Linked DNA regions of Callithrix jacchus. The protein of the gene in region 2 binds, or shares a complex with, the protein of the main gene of each other region. Links are inferred from orthologs where the notes say so. Each region holds a gene or a part of one and is shown on either strand. Other genes may lie near its edges.

Region 1 (3,741 bases), about 100 Mb from region 2:
TCCTCAGGAGGTGTGACGTTGCCTGGAAAAAAACAGCAGCAAGGTGGAACCAGGGCATTTGGGCAGCTGGTGCCAAGATTTAGGAGGGTCTGGGAGCTTCCCTTATAGAAGGTGGCAGGCCCCTATGCCCACCCTCCATTCTGATGCCAGGCCTGAGGACTATCCCTCAGCCTCCGTGCCTCTTCTGTGCAGGCTTCCCATCAGCTTGAAGCTCTTTCTCCCAGGGAGCAAGCCTCAGGTTTAGCTGGGCCTGCCTATTCCAGGGGCCTCCCTGGGTTGATCCAGGTCCCTAGTCCCCAGCTGCTCTCAGGAAGGACTCTGGAAGGAGCACCCCTACCCCCACATGTCAGGATACAGCATCTCCCAAGAGGAGGGCTTAGCTCACTGCAGCCTGTCTACAAGCTCTGACCTCAGCCGGTCCTGGAAAAGAATCTCCCCACCCTCCGGCACACACAGACTCCTTCAGGGCACATCTAGGGAGACACCCCACACAACAAAGTCACCACTGTACGGAAGCTGGATGAACTTACTCTCCCTCCAGGATCCCTGGGCCGCAGGCCTCTCTCTGAGCCGGGTGGCATTTGAGCTGGGCAGGCGCTCGACCACTGATTTCTCCCTCAAGAGAAAATCCCTCATGTCTCCTCAGCAGGGAGCACAGAACAAACGCTCAGCCTGCCTAGCTGCGAGGCGGTTTGGCAGCAGCGAGAGGGGGAGCCTGAAGGAAGCAGGCTTCCGGACTGGCCCCCTGCCGACCCAATCCCGCCGGCCCCAGGGCGGGGAGGGGTCTGGGCCCGTCTCCCCATCGCCCCGGGCCCCGGCCGGGATTCCGTCCGGCGCGCTCCCTGCTCGCCTCTGCGCCGAGGACCAGACCCTCCCGCTGGCCGCCGCCGCTAGCGCCACCTTAACCCCCTCCTGCCCGCGCGGTCGGCTCCCGCTGCGGGCCCGAGCGCAGCTCAGCTCTCATGCCCCCCGGGTCCAGCCGAGGGATCGCCGAGGCTCAGTCTCCACCCAAAAATCCCAGAGCCTGATCTCTGGGCGTGAGGAGTAGCCTGCGCCAGGCTGCTGCCCCCGATCTCAGCTTCCTCGTAAGCGCGGGGGCTTCGCGGCAGCCCACGGCCCCAGCGAGAGAGGGGAAAGCCCTTCTCTGCAGCAAAGCCGTTTGTTATTCTGTGCCGGAGAGGCGGATGCAGCCCGGCCGTCCCAAGTGGTTCGAGTCCTACCAACCCGCGCTATTTACCAGACACGGCTGTGCTGCCAGCTGCACTTCCCACCACCCACAGCTCCTCCCTGTCCCCTCCGCCCCGCGCCACGCACGCCCAAGAGGGTCCCGAGCCCATTCTGTGCACTCTTCTTGAGCAGGGTGCAAGTTCCCCTTGATCTCCCCGGTCCGGGACCTGCCGAGCAGACGGCAGTGGTCGGCAACGGCTCGCCCGCCCGGGACTCAGCCCGAGCCCGCTGCGTGCAGGCTGCGCCGCCGGGTGCCCCGCAGCCCCTCTGGGCGCCGCAGTCGGGCTGGGAACGCCGCGCAACGCCAGACACGGATTTACCCTTCCGGACGGACGCCGGGGCCTCCATGTTCCCGGGCTGTGGCCAGCGCCGGCAGAACCGGCAGCGGGCGGCGGCGGGGTGCGGGCGGCCAGCCGGGAGCCGGCTCTGCAGTCCCGCGGGCGGCGCGTACGGAGCGCCCGGCCGCCGCCCGCAGCCGCACCGCGCCACGCAGCGCCGCACCTGGCCCGACGGCGAACCCCAATTAAAGGGGCCGGCGGGGGCCGGGGACGAACTGCCCGCCGCCGCCACCAAGCTAGTCACCTCGTTGGGCCGCCGGGTCTCAGCTCCCGCCCTGCGAGGAAAACATTCTTTGGCAGAGCCGGGCTTACTAACCAGAAGCTCCGGGAGAGCTCAGCTGGGGGCTGCCGGGCCGGGAGATGGGGGAGGGCAGAAGTTGAGGAGCGCTGGTGAGAGGCTCCTGCCAATGTAATAAAGTAGGCGAGGAGGAGATCATCAATAGCAGCGATCCCAGGCCCACGGCGGGATTCGGCCCCGCGGGAGACGTGTTGCTATCACCGTGGTGCCGCCAGACAGGCTCTGCAGACCCCTTTCTTGCCCTTTCTCCCGCCGGCGCGACCCCTTCTCCAGATCGGCTTCCCACCCCACTGTTACCCAGCAAAGATTTGGCTTCGCAGGGAAACGCAGCAGGTGCGGTCCGCAGTGTGGCAGAAACTCTTGTGCTGTGTTCACCCTCACCGAGAGGAGCCGCAGGAACAGGCAGCACTGCAGGGCTGGCCCTCTCTACTCCCGGACTCCCTCCCCCAGGGCACCGGCGGGGAAGGCTGGGGGACACGCTGCTGCCCTTGGGAAGGGTCAGCTACTCACATAACGGGCCCTCTGCCAGAACTCGCAAAGCCGTCCGGCCCACCGAGCTCTGGACTTGGGAGTGCAGCTTACAGCTTCCTGGGGTGGGCAGACGAACATGCCCTTTGCTTTCCGGAAACGTGTGTGGGAAGCCCAGCCTGCCTTCTGCCTAGAAAGGGCATCCGAGAAGGTCCAGGGTGCTTTTGGGAGGCATAGGACAGCCTCAAGCCCCTGCTAGTTCTGTTGTCCAGGTCCCTGTCAGGGTCACCTAGACAGGTGTGCCAAAAAGTGGTGGTTCCTTGAGATCAGACTGGGGTAGACACGGAGCTCTGAATTCAGAGTGGCTCTAACACCAAATCCCCACTGGGCCCTTCCCTGGCTGGAAACCCTATTCTTTCTGCTTGTACCTCGTGGGGAGAGCCCCGGAGAGCCAGTGAGGCCGGACTCCAGGTTCTGGCATTTTATTGTGGTGGTGTGTGAGGTGTGGTTGAAGACTGGGAGCCTGTCCAGAGCTGCAGTGGGTGGTCTGGGAGGGCAGTGACCTCCATGAGCCTGAAGGATGACGGATGGCTATAGAGAAGGGCTGGTATGGTTTAAGAGCCCCTAACCTGGACTGTTAATGTCCTAGTCAGTGAATGGCTTGGGTGTTTGGGAGGCAGCCAGACCGAGACTTAAATCCCTGACAGTTACTAGGTAAGTTATTTCACTTCCCTGAGCACCACTGTCCTCCTCTGAAAAATCAGGATGCCCCTAAGGGTGCGGTGAGGTTTTAATTGTTGAATGAGTTTAGCATTCAGCAGACATTCAATATATGAAGATTTCTCTGCTCTGCTTCCCTGTGAAACTCTCCTCCTCGCTCTCAGCCTCCAACATAGTTTTGGGCTGTTTTTCTAGGCTCCCAATCACCAGGTCATTGTTGCCCCATTCCCTCTGCTTCCCAGATTGCCCCACCCTTCACTTTCCCTGAGATCTCAGCCATTCCCACCCATCTAGCAAATTGTCCTCCTGTTCCCTGCCCTATATACTTCTTCTGAAAACCTCCCCTGAGCAGCACCAAGGGGCTCTGTTTCTCCTACTTGGCACACTGGGTTCTCATGTAATTTAAAGTCAGATAGTCCTGTGTATCCATTTGACCATATCTATATGTTTCCTTTGCCTTCCTTCTTTAAAACAGCAGATGTGGACAGAGAAAAGCCTGGTGGGTGGGGGGCGGCGGCGGGCGTGGAGAATCAATCATCATAATTGGTGACATGGGCTTATCATGTGTCAGACCCTGTGCTAAGCACCTCTAACTCAGTGTGACATTTAATCCTCGCAGCTCTGGAAGTTAGTGTATACATTAGTATCATTTCATAGGAAAGGAAACTGAGGCAGTAAGAGGTGAAATCA
Region 2 (3,741 bases):
ACCTATGGAAACTGCACAGGGGAGCTGCAACGAACAGAGCCCTAAGTCAGAACCAGGTGACGCTACCCACGGTCATCAGAAACGCTCTCTTTTTGCCAACTGCACACACGTGAGAGGCTGGATTTCCTTCGCAGACGTCCACCAAAGCCACACATGGCGACATATGGAGACAAAAAGCAGCGGTCACCTAAGAAGACAGACATGAGGAATCTCGGGCAGCAGGGGGGCCTGCACGTGTGGGGAAGGGCACGCGGGAGCGGGTGTCGTGTTCCGGGTCCGGTCGGCCGGGAGATCCCAGGGCAGGAAGGGGGCGCGGAAGGCCGAGGTGGCCCCGGACAGAAGAGAGCCTCGCGGGCACGCCCGAGGGCCGCAGAGCAACAGCCGGGTACAGCAGGAGGGAAACGGAGGCGAAGGTGGGGTCCGCGGGCTCCGGCCGGGGAAGGATGTACGCAGACCCAAGAACCAGGTCAGCGGCACCACAGTTCCTTCAGCCGAAGGGCTGCAGAGGGGGCAGGAGGCAGGGGGCAGGGGGCAAAGGGCAGGGGCAGAGGGGGAATCCACGTAGCCCAACTGCAACCGGCGGCCCGGGCCGCACCAAGTGTCCCGACGAGGGGGGAAGCCTGCGACTGACGCGGGGACAGGCCTCGCCGAGCGCCGCCGCCAGACTCCAGGCACCCGGCCCCCACACAGAACGGCACGGACCATCCTACCCCAGAACCCCGAGGCTCCGGCAGACACTGCAGCCCGGTGCGCCTCGAGGCCGCGTCCAACCTCCCCCGTGGCGTTGGCCCACATGGTTCCGCCCGCCGCGGGCCGCGTTACCTAAGAGACCGGCCCGCCGCGGCCACGCCGGAGGCCGCGGAACCCACGCTTTTGAGAGAGTCCCCAGTCGACAGACCCAAAGGCCCGGCAGCCGGTGCTCAACGCAGCCGGAGGCCTTAAGGACCGAAAACTGGCCGAGGGGCGCGCCCCGTCCGCTGCCACCCGCGGGAGGAGCCTTGGAAGGCTGCGCGCGCCGCGCACTTCAGGCCGAAAACCCGCCTCGCGTCACTTTTGCCGTCAGGGCCGCGGAGCCAATCAGAGCCCAAGTCTAGGGCTAGACTTCGCGAGCGCCAGCCAATCGGTGCGGCGGCGGGCCCGTCCTGATTTGCATGTCCGGCGACCCTGCAACCAATGGTAATGTGACTGGCGTGAACAGCAGCCAATTCGAAGCTGGAAGAGGCGTGGCCCCGGGCGTCCCACGAGGTGAAGATGCTGCTGGCGGAACCTGCCGGAGCGAGCGGGATTCGGGGGCGCTAAAGTCGCAGGGGCAGGGCGGGAAGGAAGATCCGGCGTGGGGCTCAGGATCCGGAGCTGGAGCCCCCAGGTGAGTACGGGGGAGACCCCGGCGGGGCGCGCTTTCCCCCGACCTGCGCCGGGACGGCGGCAGCGGGCACCCACGAGGCTCGCGCTGCGGCAGGCGCCGCGGTGCCGTCTCCATCTCCTCTTCCCCGGCCCTGCGTCCCTGCCTCCGCCTCCATCTCACCTCCTCCTCAGCCTCCTCACCTCCTTCTCCGTCGTCTCCCTTCCCCCATTCCTTCCTCCCTTTCCTTCGCGGTCCTCCCGCCCGACCCTTCAGCTCGCATCCCAGACCCCTGCCCCTGCCGCCGTCCCTCTCCTTCACCCCGGTGCACCTCTTCCCCGTCTCGGCCCGCTCCGGTCCCCGCAGCCTCGCCCTCCCCTTCCCTCCTTCCTCCTCCCATCCCCTCTCCCGGCCTTCGCGCAGCCCCACCGGGGCGCTGCTGGTCCCGGTCCTCCCCATCTCTACCCCCGGTTGCTCCTCAAGGCTCACCCATCGTTCTCGCAGCCTGTCCCTGTATCGCTCCGGTCCTTTTCTCCATCGTCCCTCCCTCCCATTCTGCTCCCAGCCCCTCCGACCTCTCCCCGCGGGCACGCTCTCATCACCTTACCTGGCTCCCCAGGACTGTGACCCTGCTTCCTGCACCCGTTCCTCGAGCTGTCTACACCCTTGAGCCCCTACTATCTTAAGCTTCTCCCTCCTGCCAGGCCTTGGCACAAAGCACTTCCCTACCTGCTGCTGCTCCCAGGAGGGATGCAAAGACCCCGCTGCTGCACCACGTCCTGCGGCACTAGCAGTGGCAGCAGTCGGGGTACCTGCCCACTTTCCCACCCCCCCATCCAGGCGCATCCTGGCGTTGCTCCTCCTGCCATTTGTCCTGGGGCCTCCTGCAGGGGCTGTGCTTTGCCTGCAGCATCCCAGGGTGCTCCAGGTGGGAAGCCCCTTAACACCCTTCCTCCCTGGCCACCATCTCCCTCCCTCCCCGCCCCCACTTTCCTGCTCAGCCTCACTTTGTGATTCAGCATTTTTGGGGTTGGTAACTTTCTTGCTTCCTGTAGTGATAGGGACCTGGCCACGAAACTGAAGGCAGGGGGTCTTGACCCTGCAGTTAGAGGGCTACCTTAGGAACCGGACCTGAGCTGCCTGGTTGGGAGGGGGCTGAGGAGCTGGGGACAGCCAATGGGGATGGCCTTTTCCTCCCTTTCATTTGTCTGCCCTGTGTTGAACTGTGTCCAAGCGGAGATGGCATAAGTAATAGCTATTGGGGAAATGGACTATTAGCATTTATGGAAATTAATACATCCACATCCGAGGAGCAGGAACACCAAGTTCAGGCCACAGCTGTCCCACTGTCTGTCGCTTCAGGATTTCTTCTTTCTCTGCAACTTCTCCCCCTCAAAAACGCCAGCCTCCTCCCTCCCCTTCCCCCCAGTGCCAAGAGTAAGCTCCTGCTTTGCTAAGGAAGCCGCATTCAGGCCCCGCGTTGCAGGGTTTGGGGACCTATGTGTGAAGAGTCGCATCTGCCCACCTGATTCTTGCCTGGTGGCTCTGTCTCCCCCAGAACCCTGTGCAGCTCCTGGCCCTGTGATTTGACAGTGTGGGGCCGTAAGAATGCACTTGGTCCCCCAGGTCCTGCCATTCTTTCTGGAGACAGCTCTCCAAAGCCACACTCGGCCTCGATGGCACTGACGGTGTTGGGCTGCATGCAGCACATCTCTGCCTGGAAAGCAGCATGGTAGAGGCTTCCCTGTCCATACCCAGGGCCATTTTTTTTCCCTGCGCCAGTCAGCACATGCTTTGTCAGTGCTAATCGGCACCTGGGGACTGAGCCGGGCACTGGGGCTGGTGGTGTCGTAAAAAGTGTGAAACCCTTGTCATGTGTTTCTTGGTTCACAACCATCTTAGTCTGGATACAGAGCTGGATGGGAAGCAGGGTGCACAGAAGCCATCACACCCAGGAGATGGGACATGGGCCACCATGCTAGGGAACTGGAAAGACCGAGGGTGCCACGGGATGGCCAGCTAGAGAAGGCTTGCTCACTTTCTTTCCTTTTTCAGCAATCTTCTAAGACCCAAATGATTCAGGAGGAAGTGAGCGCCACACGGTTTTGATTTGGCAGTTTCCGGCCTGGGCTTGGAGGGAGGGACCTCCCCCAGACCTTCCTGTGTGTTGGTGCTCTGCCATGGTAACATGCTTCCATTTCCAGGGACTCTGGCCAGGAGTGGCATGTGTTTGGTTCTTGGCTAAATTCTCTGTGATTGTCACGTTGTTAGAGTTCCCAGAGAGAATGTTTTTCTGGGGTCCCTGAATAAGGAGGCAGGACAGTGGGCCACTGGGAGCGGTATTCGAGAAGGTTTGATGCCAGAGGTGTCTAAGGCCATAGACCCATGCCTCCCACCAG
Region 3 (3,741 bases), on a different chromosome or scaffold from region 2:
AACTGCGGCGACTGAGGTCACTGTCAGAGGCTAAGTTAGGGGAACTGACGTGGAGCAACTGAGCCTGCTCTTCCCCCTCAGTTTCTCGGTGGTAGAAATAGTTGAAATTGGACACAATGACAGGTACGGGCAGGGCAATTGTCAGCACACCAGCGATGGCACACAAGGAGCCCACGATCTTGCCTCCAATTGTCACAGGGTACATGTCACCGTATCCTACAGTGGTCATGGACACCACCGCCCACCAGAAAGCATCGGGGATACTGGAGAAGTGCGACTCAGCTTCTTCCGCCTCGGCAAAGTACACTGCACTAGAAAACAGGATGACCCCGATGAAGAGAAAAAAGATGAGCAGCCCTAGCTCTCTCATACTAGCTTTGAGGGTCTGGCCCAAGATCTGGAGGCCCTTAGAGTGGCGGGAGAGCTTGAAGATTCTAAAAACCCTTACCAAGCGGATGACCCTGAGGATGGCCAGCGACGTGGCCTGCTCGCCCTTCTGGTTTCCTTCCTGCTCAGCTATCTCGGTGCCTAGGGTGATGAAATAAGGAATGATGGCCACAATGTCGATGAAGTTCATGATGTTTTTGAAGAAGTCCGTCTTGCTGGGGCAGGCAAAGAAGCGCACCACCAGCTCGAAGGAGAACCAGATGATGCACAGGGTTTCCACAATGAAGAACGGGTCCGTGAAGATGTTGGAATTGTAGATGACCGTGGTGTTGTCGATGCGGTGGACGGTGCCCGTGAAGTCCTTGTCATCCTTCAGCTCGGGGAGCGTCTCCAGACAAAAGATGACGATGGAGATGAGGATGACCATGACAGAGACGATGGCGATGACCCTGGCGGGCCCCGAGCTCTCTGGGTACTCGAAGAGCAGCCACACCTGGCGCTGGTACTCCTTCTCGGGCAGAGGGCGCTCCTCCTCCTTGATGAAGCCCTCGTCCTCCCGGAACTTCTCCATGGCCTCCTCGCCCAACTCGTAAAACTTGATCTCCTCGGAGAACATGTCCAGGGGCACGTTGACCGGTCTCCGCAGGCGGCCCCCCGACTGGTAGTAGTAGAGGATGGCGTCGAAGCTGGGCCGGTTGCGGTCGAAGAAGTACTCGTTCCTCAGGGGGTCGAAGTAGCGCATGCGTTTCTTAGGGTTGCCCAGCAGCGTGTTGGGGAACTGCGTCAGGGTCTTGAGCTGCGTCTCGAAGCGCAGCCCGGAGATGTTGATAACCACGCGCTCGCAGCACTCATGGTCGTCGTGGTCCGCCTGCCGGGGGTAGCTGCCATCCTGGGGGTGGCCCGGGGCGGCCGAAGCCTCGTCCACGTTCTCCCCAGACATCACCGTCATGGTGGAAGTCGGGCGCGGGGGGTGGGAGGCCAGGAGAGAGCCCGGGGTGGGAAAGAGCCAGGAGCCGGAGGTGGGGGGGACCCAAGCGGCCCCCCCACCGGAGTGCGAGTCTCCCTCACGCCCAGGGGGAGGGGATTCAAAGCGAGCAGTTCGGGAGATATGCGACTTCGCCTCGCGCTGCTTTCCCCTCCACCCTGCTTTTCACTCAATTTGGAATCCCCCTTGCCTGCTGGCCGGTGCAGCTTTTTGCCGAGGGTTGGATTTGGGTTGGGGTTGGCTTTTTTCTTTTCTTTCTTTTTTAAGATAATTTTTACTGATCCGAGGAGCCTTAACGCAGTGCTGTTCTAGCGGACCGGGCCATCGCTTCGGGGGTCGCCCTGGCCTCCCCTCCCCTCCGAGAGCCTTCCTAGGACCCGGTGCAGTGCCGGCTCAGCAGATCCCCACGCCTGCCACCCTCTCTGCTTCTCCTCGGCTCTCCCCCCTCCTACCCCTCTTCGCCTGCCGCCTTCTAAGCTCCCACCAGGGCGATCGATGGACGCTGCAGAGAAATAGAAAGTGATACGGGGGTAGAAAATCAGAAGCATTCCGATGGGACGGACCTACAGACACCGAAGAACACAGACCTCTAGCTTGAGAAAGCACTGGACGTTTGCTAGGGTTATCACACACACACGGACAGACAGACACGCAGACACCCGGAAATCCAAGTTTGGGGCTCTTCCATCCCACATTCCCCAATGCCCAACAGCCGATCTGTTTACAACTTCGTTAAACTAGAGATCGGAAAAGCGCCCAGAGACACCGGGGGAAGCTCCGGGTCCCGGGCAGCATCCCCACACCCCCGGCCTCCCCAACCCCGCGCCCCAACCCCCGCTTCTGCGGCCCGGAGCTGGGGAACCCCCTACCTGGCCAGCAGGCTTGGCGCAGGGGCGGTGCTGCGTCCGCGGAGAGCCGGCTTGGGAATGCGGCAGGTCGCCTTTGCAGTGCCCTGGCGGGAGCCCCGGCGGTCACCACAGCCAGCATCCGAGACGCGCCGGGCAAACTAGCCTCCCTGGTCCGCTCGTCCGACGCCCCTCTCAGTTGGACAATCGCGTTACGGAGCAGCAACGGCGAAAATGTTCATTTCCTACCCCCATTCTCACTGGTTGCCAGCAACCTGGAGACGCCGTCCTCTCTCCAGTGCAGGGAGTTCCGGAGGATGCAGGGCGGAAAAGCAAAATACCACCCTCTCCCGAAGCTCCGAGGCAAATGACGATAAACAGCACTCTCGCCCCCTCCTAACACTATGCGAGCCCTTGATTCGATCCCGAAGGAGGCGGGCGGGTAGGAGCCTGGATCTACATGGCTCTCCAGTTCCCTTCGCTCTCTGCACCCCTGCGAGGACCTCGCCGAGGCTACGCGGCGCGCGGGGAGCCCTTAGGAGCTTGGAGTCGGGCAGAGTGCCTGCGGCGGCGGGTCCGCTCTGTCCATTTCTGGGCGCTGCAAGATCAGCAGAAACCTGAGAAAGCGCCTGGAATACGGAGCAGCGATTGGCCCACCCGGGCGTGGGTTGGGGAGGGCGGGGGAGGGCAGGAGCGAGGAGGTGGATGGAAAATATGAGGGGGTGGTTTGCAAGAGAGCGGGGTTGTCATTCAGTTCCCACCCTCGCCAGCACAGCTTCTTCCTCTCCTACCAGAAAAGTCGACCACTAACTCTACTTCCCCTGTGACCCACCGCCCTGCCCCGCCCACGCACTGCCGCTAGCGGCGCGCGACCTTCCCCGGGAATTTCACATTGGAAATGGTCAGGTCCGACGCAATGCAGGAGGTGGTGTTTCTGGCAAAACTCCTCCGATGGGTTTGCTTTTGTGCAGTCCCACAGTAACCCTCTTCGATCGCACTGCTCTGCGCCCCATCCCGCTCTTTCCTCAAGGAGGCCCTTGCTCTCTGCGGGGTCCACCCAGCCTCCCCCCGCCGGCTGGACTCGCAGAGCTGCAGACTTTGGGCAGAGCCCAGCAGTTGAGGATCCACGGGTTCTTTCCATGTAGTTTTACTGGGCGGCGGCGGTGCTAAGAGCCTGTCCCTCTTTAACCTACGATGGGACTTGAAGTTTTCTTACGAACCGATTATTCTGAAATACAGAGAATGTGACTTGTGGGGGACCAAAGGCCTCGTGGGTTTGTGGGGTTGTCTGCCAACTTGGTGCTAATTGGGAATAATCTGAGAAGCAAGTCGCCTACTCACCTCCCACCCTCTGTCCCTCCTCCCGCAGCCTCTTTCCCCAGCCTAGTGCCTCCACTGGGCCACTTTCAAAGCTTGCAATTTATTCGGAAAGGGTCCCCCGCAGAGGCGCATGGCAGCAGGAGCCGGGGGCGTGCGCCGTGCCCTATGAGTGCGGCTGGAGCTGCGCCCCCAGAGGCGCTGCGT

The links.
Region 1: the proteins of KCNAB2 (region 2) and KCNA2 are in contact, whole or in part, in a crystal structure (PDB 5WIE), measured with the Rattus norvegicus proteins. The link is inferred for Callithrix jacchus from reciprocal best matches to the Homo sapiens genes KCNAB2 and KCNA2. Residues at the interface, in NP_059000.1 of Rattus norvegicus: Met193, Met196, Tyr199, Ser200, Arg203, Glu231, His234, Lys235, Ile236; in NP_037102.1 of Rattus norvegicus: Asp28, Glu33, Pro62, Met66, Phe69, Asp70, Pro71, Leu72, Arg73, Asn74, Tyr76.
Region 3: the proteins of KCNAB2 (region 2) and KCNA1 are in contact, whole or in part, in a crystal structure (PDB 1EXB), measured with the Rattus norvegicus proteins. The link is inferred for Callithrix jacchus from reciprocal best matches to the Homo sapiens genes KCNAB2 and KCNA1. Residues at the interface, in NP_059000.1 of Rattus norvegicus: Met196, Tyr199, Ser200, Arg203, Glu231, Lys235, Ile236; in NP_775118.1 of Rattus norvegicus: Glu37, Met70, Phe73, Asp74, Pro75, Leu76, Asn78, Tyr80.

Annotation. Positions count from the first base shown.
Region 1 is NC_133508.1:148,471,536-148,475,276, forward strand, and holds the start of KCNA2 (potassium voltage-gated channel subfamily A member 2), read right to left. Parts: upstream 2,499-3,741; 5' UTR 2,374-2,498; intron 2,264-2,373; exon of another isoform or gene 1,810-2,263; intron 1,679-1,809; exon of another isoform or gene 531-1,678; intron 23-530; 5' UTR 1-22. UniProt on the Homo sapiens protein: Voltage-gated potassium channel that mediates transmembrane potassium transport in excitable membranes, primarily in the brain and the central nervous system, but also in the cardiovascular system.
Region 2 is NC_133508.1:43,885,916-43,889,656, forward strand, and holds the start of KCNAB2 (voltage-gated potassium channel subunit beta-2), read left to right. Parts: upstream 1-1,272; 5' UTR 1,273-1,366; intron 1,367-1,831; exon of another isoform or gene 1,832-1,899; intron 1,900-1,949; exon of another isoform or gene 1,950-2,071; coding exon of another isoform or gene 2,072-2,188; exon of another isoform or gene 2,189-2,323; intron 2,324-3,741.
Region 3 is NC_133510.1:18,519,184-18,522,924, reverse strand, and holds the start of KCNA1 (potassium voltage-gated channel subfamily A member 1), read right to left. Parts: upstream 2,811-3,741; 5' UTR 2,242-2,810; intron 1,875-2,241; 5' UTR 1,337-1,874; coding exon 1-1,336. UniProt on the Homo sapiens protein: Voltage-gated potassium channel that mediates transmembrane potassium transport in excitable membranes, primarily in the brain and the central nervous system, but also in the kidney.